Linked DNA regions of Macaca mulatta. The protein of the gene in region 1 interacts with the protein of each later gene in a pairwise test. Links are inferred from orthologs where the notes say so. Each region holds a gene or a part of one and is shown in the gene's direction. Other genes may lie near its edges. The genes, in order: MARCHF2, FATE1, FURIN and LDLRAD1.

Region 1 (5,148 bases):
TCACACTGGAGAAACTGGCAGACACCATTTGAACCAAGTTAGCATAATCGGTAGTGGACAAAATCAACATTGTATGCATCCTGAAAACGCAATGTCACGTCTGTTTCCTGCCACAAATGCAAAATCATGAGGAAGTGTTAGACAAATAGCAATGGAAGGACTTTCTTCAAAATTACTAGCCTGGAATTTTTGAAAAATATTGACGTCATGGAGAGAAGGTAAGATTGATAAAATGTTCCAGAAAGAGAGACTAAATTAGAGTCATAACAACAAAATACAACACTTGATCCCGGGATGGATTAGGGATTTTTTTGTTTTTTTGACACAGGATCTTGCTCTGTTGCCCAGGCTGGAATGCAGTGGTGAGGTAATGGCTCACTGCAGCCCGGAACTCCTGGGCTCAACTGATCCTCTCACCTCAGCCTCCCAAGTAGCTGGGACCACAGGAGGATGCCACCACGCCTGGCTAATATTTTTTTTTTTTTTTTTTTTTTTTTTTTTTTTTTTGAGACGGAGTCTCACGCTGTTGCCCAGGCTGGAGTGCAGTGGCGTGATCTCGGCTCACTGCAAGCTCCGCCTCCCCGGGTTCACGCCATTCTCCTGCCTCAGCCTCCCGAGTAGCTGGGACTACAGGCGCCCGCCACCTCGCCCAGCTAATTTTCTTGTATTTTTAGTAGAGACGGGGTTTCACCGTGTTAACCAGGATGGTCTCGATCTCCTGACCTCGTGATCCGCCCGTCTCGGCCTCCCAAAGTGCTGGGATTACAGGCTTGAGCCACCGCGCCCGGCCAATATTTTTCTTTTATTTTGTAGAGATGAGGTCTCAGACTCCTGGACCCAAGAGACCTTTCTGCCTTGGGCTCCCGAAGAGCTGGGATTACAGACATGAGTCACTGTGCCTGGCCTGGATTTTGGATTTTTAAGGGACTTTATTGGAAACTTTTTTTTTTTTTGGAGACAGAGTCTGGCTGTGTCACCCAGGCTAGAATGCAGTGGCAAGATCTCTGCTCACTGCAACCTCCGCCTTGCAGATTCAAGCAATTCTCCTGCCTCAGCCTCCTGAGTAGCTGGTATTACTGGTGCCCACAACCAAACCCAGCCAATTATTTGTATTTTTAGTACAGATGGGGTTTCACCATGTTGGCCGGGCTGGTCTCAAACTCCTGACCTCAAATGATCCAAGTGCTGGGATTACAGGCGTGAGCCACCGCTCCCGGACATAGTGCAGTATTTTTAAAAAAATGGATCTGTCTTAGAGATGGGGGTGGGTGAGTTTACTATGTTGCCCACGCTGGCCTCGAACTCCTGGGCTCAAGTGAACCTCTTGCCTCAGCCTCCAGAGCATCTGGGACTACAGGCCCGCACCACCACGCTCGTCTAACTTTTAAATTTTTTGTAGAGACAGGATCTCACTATGTTGCCCAGGCTGGTCCCCAACTTCTGGGCTCAAGCGATCCTTCCGTCTCGGCCTCCCAAAGTGCTGGGATTACAAGCTTGAGCCACTGCGACCGGCTAGTCTCAAAAAAAAAAAAAAAAAAAAGTTGAATTCTGCAGCGGTTTTATTAGACGACGATGGCGGTCTGCAGGTGGCGCAGCAGCACCCCTGGTGCCTGGGCTGGGCTAGGGCGGGACCAGTGCTGGGGGCGGAGCCGGAGCTGGGGGGCGGAGCCAAGACTCGGCAGGGGCGGAGTCAGCAGCTGCGGCGCAGCGGGGCCTGTGCGGCCCACGGCGTCCCTGTCGCCTCCGGCCCCGCCTCTCAGGGCGGGACGTGCGTGGCGATTGGCGAGTGAGAGCGAGAGGCGGTCGCTATTGGCCCGCGGCGCTGTCGGCTCGGCGGGCGGTGCCCGGACGCAGGTGCCGGCCGGAGCGGAGCTAGTGGCGCCGACGGGCCGGGCCGGGCCGGGACCCGGGCCGGGGCGAACGGAGGGGCCTGCGCGGCCGCCCGGCCCGGCCGCGTATCAGGTAGGCATGGGCCTGCAGGTGGGGTCAGAGGACGCCAGTCCGCGGGCCAGCCCCGGGTTCGAGGCCGGAGCTCGGCACCCGGGCGGGACGGCTGGGCTCGATCCCTTGACCACAGCCTTCTCAGGGACGCGGGGACCCCAGTTCCCGTGTCAAGGCCGGTGGGAGGTCCCCGGGGTCCGGTACACAGTAGGCGCCTCTCCGAGCCTCGGTTTCCCCACCTGTGAAACTGGGTCATCCCATTGCCAACCTGATGGGGCTTCTGGGAGGACTCAGGAGGTGGCTGGTGCAGAAAGCGCCTGACACACAGTAGGTAACTACGAAGTGGCCAATGCCCTTCCCCAACCTCCTTCTCAGAGCCTCTCTACTTGCAAAATAGTAAGTTATAATATAATGAGCCAGCCACTTTGCACAAAGATGCTCAAACAGGATACCCTGTGCTATATGGGTACTCAAAACAGCGTAATCAAATGGGCATATTGAGCTCATTCAGTTCTTTTGAAACCATACTGAGTAGATGGAAGCACTAGAAATGTCCCCTGTTATACAGATGAGAGAGTCCAGGCTTAGACAGGTTAAGTGTCTTGCCCAGGGCCACACAGCACATAAGGAGTAGAGGTGGGATTGGAACCTCGTTTCTCATGCAGTGCCTAAAGGAACTGAAGGACACACAGGAGCCTCTCTATGGTAAGGGAAGAGGAATGAATGCAATGACAACCTCCACATTTACCCTAAAAAATATTAATTTTTTTTTTTTTTTGAGACGGAGTCTCACTCTGTCGTCCAGGCTGGAGTGCAGTGGCGTGATCTCCCACTCACTGCAAGCTCTGCCTCCCGGGTTCATGCCTCCCGGGTTCACGCCATTCTCGTGCCTCAGCCTCCCGAGTAGCTGGGACTACAGGCGCCCGCCACCATGCCCAGCTAATTTTATATATATATATATTATATATATATATATTTAGTAGAGATAGTGTTAACCAGGATGGTCTCGATATCCTGACCTCGTGATCCACCCGCCTCGGCTTCCCAAAGTGCTGGGATTACAGGCATGAGCCACCGTGCCCGGCCAATAGTGAGCTTTTATTGAGCACTTACTGTGTGTGCCAGGGGTTGACTGTGTGGCCTCTCATCAACAGCTCTGTAAGCTGATGATAGTAATTATAATAGGAGCTAATAATTAATTTCTTAATTTTTACTAATTTATGAACTATATATTATGACACCCCTTCTTTTTTTTTTTAGATGGAGTCTCCCTCTCTTGCCCAGACTGGAATGCAGTGACACGATCTCGGCTCATTGCAATCTCTGCCTCCCAGGTTCAAGCGATTCTCTCACCTCAGCCTCTCGAGTAGTTGGGATTACAGGCGCCCGCCACCATGCCTGGCCAGTTTTTGTCGTTTTAGCAGAAATGAGGTGGTTTCACCATGTTGACTGGGCTGGTCTTGAACTCCTGGCCTCAAGTGATCCACCATCCTTGAGCTCCCAAAGTGCGCAAAGTGCTGGGATTATAGGCATGAGCCCTTCGCCCGGCCTATAACACTCATTTTGTGGATGAGAATACTGAGGCTGAGAGAGTAAAACAGCTGCCTGAGATCACACTGTAGGGAGTTTTAGGGCCCTCTGATTCCTCTGCTCTCTGTTTCCTACCTTTAGGAAAAGGAGCCTGGGCAGGTATGGAAAAGACTGGGGGGCCTCAGTGCCACCCTAAACAAGCCTAGCTAAGGGTGAGCTTTACTTGATGAATTCAGCCTGGAGGCTCCTTCTCAGGAGACCCCCTCCACAGACAGATTCCACCAGCTCCATCATTAGAATGAAGCCCAGAGAAGCAAAATGACTTGAACCAGGACACTCAGCATTGGTGGCAGAGCCAGGAGGGCCAGGAGTTAAAGAACCCAGGTCTCTTGAGGTCCAGACCCACTCCCTGGACTGTTTTAAGTTCAAGTTCTGACACCACCCCTTCCCAGCTGTGTGACCTTGGAAAGGTAGATGCCTCTCTCTGAGCATCGGCCTCTTCCCCCATCACAGGGTGTAGTTATTGGTTTGTTGTGAAGACTCAATGAGATCTATATCCAGGCCGTGCATGGTGGCTCATGCCTGTAATCCCAACACTTTGAGAGGCCAAGGCGGGCAGATCACTGGAGGCCAGGAGTTCAGGACCAGCCTAGGCAACTTGGCAAAACACCATCTCTACAAAAAAATACAAAAATTAACTGGATGTGGTGGTGTGCAGAGCTACTTAGGAGGCTGAGGTGGGAGGATTACTACACTGCCTTCCAGCCTTTTGGGTGACAGAGTGAGACCCTGCCTCAAAACAAACAAACAAACAAACAACAGAAGAGAGAAAAGAAATAGGCCAGGCGCGGTGACTCATACCTGTAATCCCAGCACTTTAGGAGGCTGAAGTGGGTGGATCACGAGGTCAGGAGTTTGAGACTAACGTGGCCAACATGGTGAAACCCCGTCTCTACTGAAAATACAAAAGTTAGCCAGGTATGGTGGTGGGTGCATGTAATCCCAGCTACTCGGGAGGCTGAGGCAGGAGAATCCCTTGAATCCAGGAGATGGAGATTGCAGTGAGCTGAGATCGGCCACTATACTCCAGCCTAGGCGACAGAGCGAGACTCTGTCTCAAAAAATAAAAAAAGAAAAAGAGAAATGACTGCAGTAGCAACTAGAAATGCAGCAGCTCTGGGCTAGACACAGGGCCAGGGCCACATGCTGGGGACAGCAGGAGGCAATCTGACAAGGTCCCTTTTTTATAGAATTCACTGCAGGGTGGAACAACAGACATGGCTAAATACGTAGATGAATAAGTAGAATGTTTCAGACAGGGACACATGCCAGGAGGGGAATCAAGTGGACCCCAGTGGCGCTTGATTGATTGAGACAGGGTCTTGCTCTGTGGCCCAGGCTGGAGTGCAGTCGTGCAATCATGGCTCACCGCAGCCTCAACCTTCTGGGCTCAAATGATTCTCCCACCTCAGCCTCCTGAGTAGCTGGGATTACAGGCGCACACCACCACACCCGGCTCATTTTTGTATTTCTTGTAGAGGCGAGGTCTTGTTATGTTGCCCAGGCTTCTCTCAAACTCCTGGGCTCATACTATCCTCCCACCTCAGCCTCCCAAAGTGTGGGAATTACAAGCATGAGCCAATGCGTCCGGCCCCAGACAGCATAGTCGAGAAGGCT
Region 2 (4,915 bases), on another chromosome or scaffold:
GATTGTCAGATAGAATACAGGATATGCAGCTAAATTTCAATGTTAGATCAACCCATGAATCCTTTTTTTAGTGTAAATATGTCCCAAAGGTTAGTGTACAAGAGAGAATACTTACACTACAAATGTAGTATAAGTACAGATGTGTTGTTTATCTGAAATTTAAATGTACTTCGTATCTGTATTTTCATTTGCTCAATCTGGCAACCTTGGCTGGGCTTCCCAGGCTCCTGAATCCCACTAAGCTGAGCACACTCAGTAGTTTCTCTGCTCCCAAGGTGGCCCTCCAGAAAGCTCAAATTTCATCGCAGCTGCTCCACTAGATCTGGGAAGGGCTTCTTTGGGGCCCCCAGGAATGCAGGCAGGGCCTATATCAGCTCTGCTTCCCAAGAGCTCGGCCCCAGCGCTGGACAGGTGAGGTGGGGGCAGGGGACAGGCAGCCTCAGACCATGCTGCCCTATCTCAGCTAGTTCTGACCCCTTCCTTTGCACTCCCTCTCCTTCCTTCCTTCCTTCCTTCCTTCCTTCCTTCCTTCCTTCCTTCCTTCCTTCCTCTTTTCCTCCTTCCTTCTTTCCTTCCTTCCTTCCTCCCTTCCTCTTTTCCTTCCTTCCTTCCTTCCTTCCTTCCTTCCTTCCTTCCTTCCTTCCTTCCTTCCTTCCTCCCTTCCTCTTTTCCTCCTTCCTTCCTCCTCTTTATCCCACCTGACCCAAGGGCTCTGGGGGAAGAAGAGGCTATTTCTAAAAGGAACGTTTTATAAACCTGTCCTGATTCCTTTCACAAATAGCCTCCTATTCCCCCAGGGGCTCTGGGGTTGTTTCCTAGAATGAAGGGTTCACCATAGGTCGTGTAGCAATCAGTGTTTTCCAGAGAAACAGAACTGATAGGATGTATATATGTATGTATGTATGTATGTATGTATCTGCATATGCACAAGTATATATACATTTATTTTAATAAATTGACTTATGCAATTGTGGGGCTGACAAGTCTGAAATGTGCAGGGCAGCCTGGCAGGCTGGCAACTCAAAGAAGAGTTGACACTGCAGTCCTGGGGTAGAATTACCTCTACTTTGGGAAACCTCAGTCTTTGCTCTTCAGGCCTCTCAGTTGATTGTGTGAGACCAACCCACATCATCGAGGATGTGTCTCTACTTTACTTCAAGTCCACTGGTTGTAGATGCCAACCACAGCTACAAAATGCCTCCACAGCAACACCTAGACTAGTGTTTGAAGGAGTCACTGGGGACTAGAACCTGGCCAGGTGACACATAAACCTGACCATCACAGTGGTCTAATCAGTAGGGAAACTGAGGGAGAATTGGGACTTAGAAGGTGCAAGGCCTGAGGCCCCTGGGAGTTCTAGTGGCTGCAGTCAGGTCCCACCTCTCTTACCCTTCTCTCCCTTTGTTCTCATGGCTCCTGCCTAGTCTGACCTACTTCAGAAAAAGGCTACCTCCCATGTCTGGGGACTCTGGATGGGGGAGGTAGGATATGCTCTCCAGAGAATCCCTTCTGAAGGTGTGGTATGGCCTGGATTGCTAGGACCTAACTCTGCTGTAGCCACTGCCTGGCTCTTGGACCCTGTGCCAATCCCTGTTTCTTCATAGAAATGATGGAGGGTAGACCCCACCCTTCCCCCCATGGGCTAAATATGGAGATTTATGAGCCAGAGCAGTTCTCACAGTCAAAGGCATGGAATTGTATCTCTTCTCCTAAGTTGCTTACAGAGTAGCAAGGAGAAGGCCACGGACCTAGCCAACAAGATACAATAGAAACAGAAAGTGCTGAGTCCAAGGCCTCAGCCTAGAGAGGGAGTCTTGCTCCACCCCCAGGTCTGACTATATCTTCCTTGAGCTCCTGTTCCAGGAAGAGGTGATTTTCTGAGTGTGACTCCTCTGTTCCTGGCACCCTGTACATCCTTAGCCATAGCTTACAAGTGAACAGCTGGTTGTGATGGCAGGAGGCCCTCCCAACACCAAGGCAGAGATGGAAATGTCCCTGACAGAAGAACTGAATCATGGACGCCAAGGGCAAAACCAAGAGCACCTGGTGATAGCGGGTGAGGATCCCCTAAAATACCCCTAGGCTACAGCCAACTGTGTAGATACATGTCTGTACCTGTGCATGTGTGTGTTGGGAAAGGTGCATGTGTGCATGGAAGTGTTTGCACATCTGTGTGTTGGGCGGGCTTTGAGGATTTGTGGGTTGATGGTAAGGGATCTAGGAGAAAAGGGATAGATGATGTGAGCATTTTGCCCTGGGAGGGAGGAGGATGGGAACAACATGTGTGGTCCCTCTGTCTTCCCCTTGTCCAAGCCACCACAGTGTCTGTTGCAAAATACTCAGAGGGCTCAAATTATGAGACCAGAGATCAATTCTCTCTCCCAACCCTCGAATTCATTTTCCTGCCATTTGGAGGAAAATCCAGACTCCATGATCTATAAGATTGTATCAGCCTCCTCAAAACATTTCATACTATGATATAGACAGAAAATACCATTTCTATAGCACACAAAGGGATCCAGATCACATTGCATTTATGTTTGTTCTTACAATGCTCCAAGCCTGCTTCTTCCCCAAAGACCTTGCATTTGCTGTTTCCTCTGTCTGGAATGCTCTTTCCCTCAATTTCCCAGGGCTGGGTCCTTTATTTTTTTCAGGTCCCTGCCTCAATTGTTGTCTCCTACTTTTCTAGAAGGAGCCCTTTCCTTCCACTATGTTACCCTGTTTTGATCATTTATGGAGCCTGCATCTCTCTGTCTGCATTTGCAAGGATAGACCTTCTGTTTTACACCTGTCATTCACTCTTATACACAAAACAGATGGTCAGTTCCTTGATAGCTGGAATCTTGTTCTTGGTCATTGCTCTCTAGATTACTGGAGAGTAACCTAGTCTCGAGCTGAGCCCTCAGGATTCTTGTTTAACTTTTGAACAGATGAACAAACTGAGACCTGGGATCAGCTGGTGGACAGTGGTTAATGGGTGCTGAGTGATTCCCAAGAAAGCTGGGGACTCTGTCTTCTTTTTGGTGTGTTTTGTGCCCAAGAAGCCCTGGTACAACTTCTATGGGTGCTCCTGGGGTCTCTGTTCTTCTCTCTAGAAATGATGGAGCATGGATCTCGGTCCCTGGGTGCCTCCCAGAAGAGGCAGAAGTTGGAACAAAAAGCTGCTGGCTCTGCTTCAGCGAAACGAGTTTGGAATATGACTGCCACCCGATCCAAGAAAATGGTACTGCATGGGGTCCTCAGCACATGTTGGCCAGGTTGGGGTTGGGAGTACTGGTTGTAGGGGCTGTAGCCTGACCAGGTCAGGCAGGGCTAGACATTGACTTGTGAGGAGGAGGAAGCTCCTGTATTCCAAGCTGGCAAATGAGGACAGAAAGGTCAGGGTCATCCTTTCCTATGCTTGGGATGCAACCTTGGGAGTTCAGAACGCCTGAAACAAATATTGCATGGGGAGTACATAAATATTTCACTCTGTAAATCCATTGTGTGAAATAACGCTTCCTGTATTTAAAATTGTGTGTGTGGTGCGTGTGTGTGTATACACACAATAACTCAGGTGAGGCTCCTACGCTTTCTGGCTGTTAAGAAATCCAGTCAAGTCGTCTGGCATGGTGGCTCATGCCTGTAATCTGAGCACTCTGGCAGGAAGAGGTGGACGGATCACTTGAGGCCAGGAGTTGGAGAACAGTCTGGCCAGCATGGTGAAACCTTGTCTCTACTAAAAATACAAAAATTAGCTGGGCATGGTGGCACATGCCTGTAATCACAGCTACTCAGGAGGCTGAGGCATGAGAATCGCTTGAACCTAGCAAGCAGAGGTTGCAGTGAGCTGAGATCATGCAACTGTACTCCAGTCTGGGCAACAGAGCAAGAGAAAGAAAGGAAGAGAGAGAGAGAGAGAGAGAGAGAGAGAGAGAGAGAGACAGAGAGAGAGAGGGGGAGAGAGAGAGAGAGAGAGAGAGAGAAGAAGGAAGGAAAAGGAAAAGAAAGGAAAGAAAGAAAGAAAGAAAGAAAGAAAGAAAGAAAGAAAGAAAGAAAGAAAGAAAGAGAAAGAAAGAAAGAAAGAAAGAAAGAAAGAAAGAAAGAGAAAGAAAGAAAAAAGAAATCCAGGAAAGTGAATCTGACCATTTTGTAGCCAGTCCTTTTAAGCTACATTCGATATGGGTGAAGGAATGTTTTAGAATAAATAGTGGCTATACTGTTGCAAATGATATTGGGAAAACACAGTCATTTTGGATGGGGAGGGAAGCCTGACTATTCTAGAGAATTAAGTGAGTCCCACAGTTCTGTAGCCAATCATTTTAGCTAGCTAAATTCACTGTGAGTAAGGGAAAGTTTTACAAAAATTGTTGTTATGCTGTTGCAAAGGCTGCTGGGAAAAGGCAACAAGATTGGAGAGGGAGGGAGGTCTGACTGCTCCAGGAAATCATGTGAGTCCCACAGTTCTGTAGCCAATTCTTTAAGCTACATTCATTGTGGGTGTTGAATCTTCTAGAAAAATGCTGGCCACATTGTTGCAAAGGATACTGAGCCATTTTGCAGAGGAGGTAGACCTGACCGTTTTAGGGAATCATGAATCCCATAATTGCGTAGCCAATGTTGTTCACCACATTCAGGTGGATGAGGGAAAGCGTTAGAAAATGGTGGTTTTACTGTTACCACAGTAAAGTTTGAAAGTTATTGGGGGGCAATAAGGTTGGAGAGGGAGGGAGACTTGATTGCTGAAATGATTTATTGGGTAGCCCCAGTGAAGAATGAGAAAAAAAGCTTGCAAGTTAGAGATTTCCTGGGAATAAAAATAAGTCAAATATTGAGTTGGCTTTTTGTGTCCAAAGACAGAAGCCAAATCAAGTTGCTCCAGGAAGTCAGGCTCCTGCAAGCCACCAACGTCCCTGAGACTAGAGGACAGGCT
Region 3 (4,916 bases), on another chromosome or scaffold:
TTTATTCTCGTGTTTAACTTTACACAAAACATGTTTATTGAAACATTAAGGGACAAAAGAAAAGTAAAGTGCTTATACCAATTGCACTTGGCTAATTAAAAAACAATTTTTTTTTAGAGATGAGGTCTTGCTATGTTACCCAGGGTGGTCTTGAACTCCTGGCCTCAAGCAATCCTCCCGCCTTGGTCTCCTGGTCTGATTTTTTGTGTGTCTAGATAGATATATTTGGATACACACTTGATCCACCAGGGATCTCACAGGGGACAGGAGGTTCCCAGAGAATGAGGCCAGTTCTCCAGCAGTGTCCTCCTGCCAACCCTCCCTCAAGTCCCAATCCTGAATGACCCCAGCCCACTCTGTCCACAGGGCCGAGGGGGGCTGGGCTCCATCTTTGTCTGGGCCTCGGGGAACGGGGGCCGGGAACATGACAGCTGCAACTGCGACGGCTACACCAACAGTATCTACACGCTGTCCATCAGCAGCGCCACGCAGTTTGGCAACGTGCCCTGGTACAGTGAGGCCTGCTCATCCACACTGGCCACGACCTACAGCAGTGGCAACCAGAATGAGAAGCAGATTGTGAGTCTTACCTGGGCTTGGGGGCTGGGGAAATGGGGCTGCTGGCTGACTTTGCCCAGCACCCTCTTTTGGAGGCTGTTTGCCTCCACCCCCATGTGGCTGGGTGATAGTGGCTCAGGCATCATGGAATGTGAACTCTGGGGCTCTCTAAGTTCTTGGGAGGCGGTGGAGCCATACCTGAAGCCTTTGAAAAGCCTAGTCTCTCCCTAAAAACATACGTCGTTCTTATTCATCTCCAACTGCTAGTTAAACCCCCTTATTCCTTTGGAAAATGAGGTCCAGGAGGGGCTCATCATTAGCCTGTCCACAGCAAGTTAACAGGGCAGCAGCTGGGACCCAGGGGTCTTGGCCCTGGCTTCTCATACCATCTGTGGTGCCCAGGGCCTGTAGGCAGGTGGCTCCTCTAGCCCTCTCCACCCATCACAGGCCCCAATAAGATTATCTTCCTGGCAGGTGACGACTGACTTGCGGCAGAAGTGCACGGAGTCTCACACGGGCACCTCAGCCTCTGCCCCCTTAGCAGCCGGCATCATTGCTCTCACCCTGGAGGCCAAGTAAGTGGGTGGGGGCCAGGGGCAACCCTGTCTCTACCAGCACTCTCTGTAGGGCAGCCCTTAGTCTCCAGCTGCTCCCAAAAAAGACTGATCCCTGACCTCTCCTTTCCTTCTTTGCAGTAAGAACCTCACATGGCGGGACATGCAGCACCTGGTGGTACAGACCTCGAAGCCAGCCCACCTCAACGCCAACGACTGGGCCACCAATGGTGTGGGCCGGAAAGGTGAGGACAGGCTGGCCCCGCAGGCTGGATGTGGAGTTAGGTGGAAGGCACTCTGTGCCTCACAGCTGACTTCACCTTCCCTGTTCCCACAGTGAGCCACTCGTATGGCTACGGGCTTTTGGACGCAGGCGCCATGGTGGCCCTGGCCCAGAATTGGACCACAGTGGGCCCCCAGCGGAAGTGCATCATCGACATCCTCACGGAGCCCAAGTGAGGGCTGGACCCAGGCTGGGAGGGGGCCAGTGGGACCAGAGTCGCAGGGGGTGCCCGCTGGTCCCTCTGGGCCAGGCTGACCATCATGGTCCTCTCCTGCACAGAGACATCGGGAAACGGCTCGAGGTGCGGAAGACCGTGACCGCGTGCCTGGGCGAGCCCAACCACATCACTCGGCTGGAGCACGCTCAGGCGCGGCTCACCCTGTCCTATAATCGCCGTGGCGACCTGGCCATCCACCTGGTCAGCCCCATGGGCACCCGCTCCACCCTGCTGGCAGCCAGGTGCTTGCTCTGTCCCTGCCCATCACCTCCTCCTCTCACAGCCCGCGTGCTTGCCTTTGCTCGCTCACACGGCCCAGGGGGCACTGAGTGCTACTCAGTGGGGCACTCTTGGCATTTTGGGAGGGACAGTTTTGTCCTGTGGGACTGTCCCATGTTGCAGGAATCCCTGGCTTGCACCTATTTAATGTCAGTAGTGTGCCCCACCTTGTGCAGTGCCTGTGTATCCTTCTAGAATCCCCTGGTTGAGCATGTCTGGCTCGCTGGGAAACAGCCAAGCCAGCAGGCACTTCTGGCCCCGTGAGGTTGGTCTGCGTGGGGGAAGGGTATGTGGCCCGTGTGCTGTGGGTTAGATGTCCCTAGCTTGGGGTCCCCCAGAGGCCTCAGGGCTGTGTGCACTCCCCTCCCCAGGCCACATGACTACTCCGCAGATGGGTTTAATGACTGGGCCTTCATGACAACTCATTCCTGGGATGAGGATCCCTCTGGCGAGTGGGTCCTAGAGATTGAAAACACCAGCGAAGCCAACAACTATGGTACTGGGGGCACTTGAGGGGTAGGGGTACGAGGTGGAGGGCTGGCAGGATCTAGGGCACTGGGCGTGGTGCCAGCACTGTCCAACTCTTGCCTCCTCACCGCTCTGGAACAGGGACACTGACAAAGTTCACCCTCGTACTCTATGGCACTGCCCCTGAGGGGCTGCCCATACCTCCAGAAAGCAGTGGCTGCAAGACCCTCACGTCCAGTCAGGCCTGTGTGGGTCAGTAGTGGGTGCTGTTGGGCTTTGGGGGCCGGAGTCTGGGGGGATGGCGGGTGCCTGTCCTGAAGCCCAGCTCTAAGAAAAAAGTCTCAAGAGACCTAGGGCCCCTGGGGCTTTTGGGATGACCACAGTCCTGGGGCTGGGGGATCTTGGGGATGTGGTGACTTGGCTTGGGGCTGCTATGGTCCTGGTGCTACAGTCTGTTTAGCTGACACACACTTGCCCTCTCTCCCACGCCGGCAGTGTGCGAGGAAGGCTTCTCCCTGCACCAGAAGAGCTGTGTCCAGCACTGCCCTCCAGGCTTTGCCCCCCAAGTCCTCGATACACACTATAGCACCGAGAATGACGTGGAGACCATCCGGGCCAGCGTCTGCGCCCCCTGCCACGCCTCATGTGCCACATGCCAGGGGCCGGCCCCGACAGACTGCCTCAGCTGCCCCAGCCATGCCTCCTTGGACCCTGTGGAGCAGACTTGCTCCCGGCAAAGCCAGAGCAGCCGAGAGTCCCCGCCACAGCAGCAGCCACCCCGGCTGCCCCCAGAGATGGAGGCGGGGCCGCGGCTGCGGGCAGGGCTGCTGCCCTCACACCTGCCTGAGGTGGTGGCTGGCCTCAGCTGCGCCTTCATCGTGCTGGTCTTCGTCACTGTCTTCCTGGTCCTGCAGCTGCGCTCTGGCTTTAGCTTCCGGGGGGTGAAGGTGTACACCATGGACCGTGGCCTCATCTCCTACAAGGGGCTGCCCCCTGAAGCCTGGCAGGAGGAGTGTCCGTCTGACTCAGAAGAGGATGAGGGCCGGGGCGAGAGGACCGCCTTTATCAAAGACCAGAGCGCCCTCTGATGAGCCCACTGCCCACCCCCTCAAGCCAATCCCCTCCTTGGGCACTTTTTAATTCACCAAAGTATTTTTTTATCTTGGGACTGGGTTTGGACCCCAGCTGGGAGGCAAGAGGGGTGGAGACTGCGCCCTTCCTACCCTCGGGCCCATCTGGCCACCTGAGGTGGGCCCAGGACCAGCTGGGGTGCGGGGAGGGCCGTACCCCACCCTCAGCACCCCCTCCATGTGGAGAAAGGAGTGAAACCTTTAGGGCAGCTTGCCCAGGCCCAGGCCCAGGCCCAGGCCCAGGCCCCAGCCCCAGCCAGAGTTCCTGCGGAGTGAAGAGGGGCAGCCTTTGCTTGTTGGGATTCCTGACCCAGGCCGTAGCTCTTGCCCTTCCCTGTCCCTCTAAAGCAATAATGGTCCCATCCAGGCAGTCGGGGGCTGGCCTAGGAGGTATCTGAGGGAGGAGGCCACCTCTCCAAGGGCTTCTGCACCCTCCACCTTGTCCCCCAGCTCTGGTGAGTCTTGGCAGCAGCAGCCATCATAGGAAGGGACCAAGGCAAGGCAGGTGCCTCCAGGTGTGCACGTGGCATGTTGGCCTGTGGCCTGTGTCCCATGACCCACCCCTGTGCTCCCTGCCTCCACCACCACTGGCCACCAGGCTGGCGCAGCCAAGGCTGAAATTCTGGCTGAACCCTGTGCTGGTGTCCTGACCACCCTCCCCTCTTTTGCACCTGCCTCTCCCATCAGGGCCCAAGTCCCTGTTTTCTGAGCCCGGGCTGTCTGGGCTGTTGGCACTCACAGACCTGGAGCCCCTGGGTGGGTGGTGGGGAGGGGCGGTGGCCCAGCCAGCCTCTCTGGCCTCCCACCCAATGCTGCTTTCCCCTGTGGGGATCTCAGGGGCTGTTTGAGGATATATTTTCACTTTGTGATTATTTCACTTTAGATGCTGATGATTTGTTTTTGTATTTTTAATGGGGGTAGCAGCTGGACTACCCACCTTCTCACACCCACCGTCCGCCCTGCTCCTCCCTGGCTGCCCTGGCCCTGAGGTGTGGGGGCTGCAGCATGTTGCTGAGGAGTGAGGAATAGTTAAGCCCCAAGTCCTGAAGAGGCAGGCCAGCCAGGCGGGCTCAAGGAAAGGGGGTCCCAGTGGGAGGGACAGGCTGACATCTGTGTTTCAAGTGGGGCTCGCCATGCCAGGGGCTCATAGGTCACTGGCTCTCCAAGTGCCAGGAGTAGGCAGGTGGTGGCACTTAGCCCCCTCCAACACTGTGCCCTGGTGGAGAAAGCACTGACCTGTCATGCCCCCCTCAAACCTCCTCTTCTGACGTGCCTTTTGCACCCCTCCCATTAGGACAATCAGTCCCCTCCCATCTGGGAGCCCCCTTTTCTTTCTCCTAGCCATTCCTGGTACCCAGCCACCTGCCCAGGGGTGCCCCCTCCTCTCCCATCCCCCTACCCTCGTGGCCAGCCCGGCTGGTTTTGTA
Region 4 (4,216 bases), on another chromosome or scaffold:
AGGCTGGGTTCTGGGGTCACAGGGATGAATCACACCTGCTCCTGCCCCTTTCTCTGAGGTACCTGTGGCAGGTCAGTAGCTCCCATGCTCCTTCAGACATGTCCATGCCTTGCCTTCTAAGTGCAATAACAAGCTGCAGAGGACAAGGACCAGGGCAAGCTGCACAGCAGGGTACCCAGGAGGTCCTCAGTAAAGCCTTCTTTTATTATTTTGTAAGCAGGAGAGAATTAAAGGAGAATTAAAGTGCAGTTCTACAAGAGTAGGGAGGTCCCCTGTCACTGCTATCTCCGTAGCACTTAGAATAAGGCGCGGCACATGGTAAGTCCTCAACAAGCAATAATAGACCAGACACGGTGGTACACGCCTGTTGTCCCAGCACTTTGGGAGGCTGAGGCAGGAGGACTGCTTGAGCCTAGGACTTACAGGGTGCAGTGAACTACGATCACACCACTGCACTGCAGCGTGGGCAACAGAGCCAGACCCTATCCCTAAAATATAAAAAATAATAATTTTTTAAAAAGCAATAATAATAGCTCATACTCACCACTTACTATGTGCTGAGCACTGTTCTAACACATTAACTCAACAAATTCTAATCCTCTCAACAAACTCAGAGGTAGCTACTGTGGTCCCCATTTTCCACATGAGGAATCTGAGGCACAGGGAAGTGAAGTGGCTTACTCAGTGTGGCCCAGATAGGATGTGGTAGAGCTGGGATTCCAACCTGCATCCCAGCAGACTCCAGAATGAACAGTCAATTGGGACAGTGAAAAGGGCATGGGTTTTGGCATCAAACAGGTGTAGATTCACACGCCAGCTCTACCCGGGGTGACCTGAATCTTTTCTTCTTGAGCCCTAGTTTCCTCATTGATAAAATAAAAGTTTGTTTTGAAAAATAAAGACCATGGTTATGAAGGGCCTAATGGAGCTTCTGCCCCAAGTTGGGGGCTGGACACACAGGCGTCCATCTCTCCCAGTGTCCTGAGGAGGTCACCTGATGGCGGGTGGGAGAGGAGGCTGTCCGCCTCTGCCATTCAGTCATCTGTGGGCCCCGGCCAGGGTGGCATCTAGTGGAGTGGGCCCACAGGCAGAACAAAGAGCATCAAAGAGCATCACGGAGGGCTTGGGAGCTGCTCCTCCAGGGAAGCCATCCCTGCTCTGCTCACCCTGGTTGGGGACAGGCTGCTTGCAGCGGGCATGGCGGGAAGGGAGCACCCTGTTCCCAGTGCTGGCCCTCATCACCACCACCCCCGGGCTTGTTTCCCCCCACACAGCAGGCTGCGGCCCCCTCTGCTGCTCGCGTCGCAGGGCCTGCCTCTCTGCCTCTCTGCTGTTCCTCCTGGCAACTCTGGCCGCCCTCATCGCCTTGGTCACCATCCTTGGACTCCCATCACGCACCCCCGGTCAGGGCAGCCAAGAAAGGGTGGGTCAGACCCGGTGGGAAGGGCATGGGGGGGCACAGAGAGATGAGGGAGCCCCGACCTGCCTGGCTTCTCTACCAGATGACTTTGGACAAATTCCTTAAGGTGCACGCACAGACACCTGCACACACACTGACTGTACCAGTCTCTGAGCCTCCATTTGCACATCTGTGACATGGTTACCGAGAGGATCCAGCTCTGAAGTCACCTCCTCCAGGATGTCTTCCTAGACCCCCAGGCTGGGTTACAAGCCTCTTCTCAGCCCCACAGTCCCTATACTTCCTCTTCCCCTGGCCTGGGCACCCTGGGGTAGTGCTATACATCTGTGTGTCCATCTCCACCATGGGGGACAGGGTCACATCCCATACATGCCTGCAGCCCCAGCTTCAGGGGTGAACAACCCCAAGACAGTGCCTGCCCTCATGGAGCTAATAATTGTTCTGAGAGCAGTCTCGACATGAATACATATTACAGCAGGGTCCCTGGGATCCCTGAGAGTCTAGCCCCGTTGAGGAGTCAGGGTAGGCACAATGGGTATTAGTAGTGGGGGGATGCCAGGAAAAGCATCCCAGGAACAGGGAACAGCATGTGTGGAGCCCTGAGGGGTGGGAGGAAGCAGGAAGAGAAGAAGAGACTGCAAGAGGCCAGTGTGCAGGAAGGGCTAGAGTGACAAGTGGGGCCAAGGGCCTCACAGGCTGCACCGAGAAGGGAGGTCATAGTCCAGGAGCCACAGGAGATTAAGCTGGGGGCAAGTGTCACCAGGTGGATGTTTCTGCAGGATGGCTCTGCAGCCGGGCAGGGTGGGTGTAGAGGGCTGAGGCAGGGGCTGAGCTCTCCCGCTGCCTGTGCAGGAACACAGGCCCTGAGGTGGATGCGAATACATGAGCAGCTGCAGTCATGAGTCCGTGCACGCACCTGTGTGTTTTGTGTGTCTATGAGTATATGCAGCTGTCTGTGTATGCATGTTCATGTCTGTGTGAGAGCATGTGTGTGTCAGTGCATGTGTGCACATCTGTTGTCTGTGTATCTGTGAGTGTGCATGTAGGTGCAGCTGTGTGTGAGCATGTGTTCATGTGTGTGTGCATCTGTGTGTGTGTCTGTGTCAACATGAGTGTCTCTGAGAGTTGCTCCCCCGTCCCCCAACCCACACTAGCTGAGGCTGCCCAGGGACTGAGAGGTGGTTCACGCATGCACAAACACAAATGCACAAACCGGCTCCCATCCCCAATTATGCACACGTATACACACGTGGGGCCAAGGGGTTCCCCCTACCTTGTCCGCAGGTTTCCGTCTTTTAATTCTTTGCGGCAGCCCTAGGAGTGGGTATTCCTTTTCTCCTCCCATATGGGGGGCCAATGATGACGTGTCTCAGGGGTGTTTGGGGAACTATAGAATAAAGATATGAAAGTGCTTTGCAGTTGTGCCCAGATAGAAGGAATTATGACATATGGCCCTCCAGCCAGCCCAAGTATATTGCTTCTGACACTCTAACCTCATACCAGGAGCTTCACCATTACAACCACTTCACTTAATTGAACACTGTCCTCAGAAGCTTCCCGTGACACTGTAAATAAGTTTTCAATACAGGAGAGAACCATTACTTGTCCTGCACATTTTCTGTTCTATGTTTCTTCACAGAGATGGTTTTATTTAATCCCCGCAACAGTCCCACGGGGTGTGTGCTATGATCCCCATGTTGCAGACAACCTGAGACTCAAGGTGGTCAGGTCATCTGCCCAAGATCAGGCAGCCGGCAGTGGGTAGAGCTGGGGCTTGAACCCCATTGATGGCGCTGGGTTCATCCCCCCCACTGCTCTAGCCCCTCAGGCCAGCTCTAGGTGGAGTTCAGGTGAGGAAAGTTTGTCCTTGTGAGCACCACCCCTGACCCTCCAGGGCCTTCCCCTACCCATTCAGGAGCCCAAGCTTGTATAACACTGACAAATAGGACAGGCTTCTTGTGCCATGACCAGAGGAGCTGCATTCCAGCCAGTGGGGTCTGTGATGGCGTTTGCACCTGTACCCACGGCGAGGATGAGGATGAGAGCTTGTGCCGTGAGTACCCGCTCGGTGCTGCCCCTCCCAGGGGTTCCCCCACAGCCTAATTATCTCTGCAGCCATACTGAAGCTCAGTCATCCCTGAACACACCAGGCACCTTCACGTCCCCATGGTTTTGATGCTCCAGTGCCTTCAGCCAGGAACGCCTGCCCCGACCTGGTCCCAGTCAGGGACATACATGCCCCCACTAAGGAATGCCTTCACCCTGTGCATCTCCACTCCCAGAGAACCCGTATTCATCCCTCAAGGCAGAGTTCAAGTGTTACCTCCTCCAGGAAGCTTTCCCTGACTCCCACACGAGGTTAAATTGTCTCCTTGGGCTTCCACAGTCCCTGTGGTTCCCTGTGTCGCAGCCCTCGTCACACTGGTTGTCACTCGATTGGCACATCTGCTGCCCCCATCAGACTGTGAACTCCTCTGAGGCAGGCCCAGTCCGCTTGATATGGGGGCCCCAGCGCCTAGCACAGAGGGGTATTCAGAATGGCTTGCTGAATGAATGAGCAAATGAATGAATGGGAAGACCTGGCCCCGGACCTCAGACACCAGAATGTTCTCAGGAGAGAGAAGCCTGACCCCACAGGAGAGAGACAGCCTGGAGAGGTGCAGTGGGTGGGGTAGGGGAGCTCATGGAGGGCGAGTCATTGCATCAAAGACCCTCAAGACGAGAAGCAATTTCAAAAACATCTAGTCCTTGCCCCAGCTCATCCCCAGGCCCCTCTTTAGCAAGCCCAACCGAGGC

Evidence for each region.
Region 2: the proteins of MARCHF2 (region 1) and FATE1 interact in binary tests that used the Homo sapiens proteins (3 or more experiments, as listed by UniProt). The two-hybrid records come from large-scale screens. The link is inferred for Macaca mulatta from reciprocal best matches to the Homo sapiens genes MARCHF2 and FATE1.
Region 3: the proteins of MARCHF2 (region 1) and FURIN interact in a protein complementation assay, tested with the Homo sapiens proteins (2 studies listed by BioGRID). The link is inferred for Macaca mulatta from reciprocal best matches to the Homo sapiens genes MARCHF2 and FURIN.
Region 4: the proteins of MARCHF2 (region 1) and LDLRAD1 interact in binary tests that used the Homo sapiens proteins (3 or more experiments, as listed by UniProt). The two-hybrid records come from large-scale screens. The link is inferred for Macaca mulatta from reciprocal best matches to the Homo sapiens genes MARCHF2 and LDLRAD1.

What each region holds. Positions count from the first base shown.
Region 1 is NC_133424.1:9,260,311-9,265,458, forward strand, and holds the start of MARCHF2 (E3 ubiquitin-protein ligase MARCHF2), read left to right. Parts: upstream 1-1,835; 5' UTR 1,836-1,962; exon of another isoform or gene 1,963-2,646; intron 2,647-3,201; exon of another isoform or gene 3,202-3,275; intron 3,276-4,105; exon of another isoform or gene 4,106-4,449; intron 4,450-5,148. UniProt on the Homo sapiens protein: E3 ubiquitin-protein ligase that may mediate ubiquitination of TFRC and CD86, and promote their subsequent endocytosis and sorting to lysosomes via multivesicular bodies.
Region 2 is NC_133426.1:157,951,200-157,956,114, forward strand, and holds the start of FATE1 (fetal and adult testis-expressed transcript protein), read left to right. Parts: upstream 1-1,862; 5' UTR 1,863-1,950; coding exon 1,951-2,056; intron 2,057-3,098; coding exon 3,099-3,226; intron 3,227-4,915. UniProt on the Homo sapiens protein: Involved in the regulation of endoplasmic reticulum (ER)-mitochondria coupling. Negatively regulates the ER-mitochondria distance and Ca(2+) transfer from ER to mitochondria possibly implicating it in the regulation of apoptosis.
Region 3 is NC_133412.1:80,789,503-80,794,418, forward strand, and holds the end of FURIN (furin precursor), read left to right. Parts: intron 1-366; coding exon 367-579; intron 580-1,032; coding exon 1,033-1,133; intron 1,134-1,253; coding exon 1,254-1,357; intron 1,358-1,449; coding exon 1,450-1,567; intron 1,568-1,674; coding exon 1,675-1,854; intron 1,855-2,262; coding exon 2,263-2,387; intron 2,388-2,500; coding exon 2,501-2,611; intron 2,612-2,854; coding exon 2,855-3,447; 3' UTR 3,448-3,708; downstream 3,709-4,916. UniProt on the Homo sapiens protein: Ubiquitous endoprotease within constitutive secretory pathways capable of cleavage at the RX(K/R)R consensus motif. Mediates processing of TGFB1, an essential step in TGF-beta-1 activation.
Region 4 is NC_133406.1:186,598,863-186,603,078, forward strand, and holds part of LDLRAD1 (low-density lipoprotein receptor class A domain-containing protein 1), read left to right. Parts: intron 1-1,274; coding exon 1,275-1,403; intron 1,404-3,335; coding exon 3,336-3,473; intron 3,474-4,216.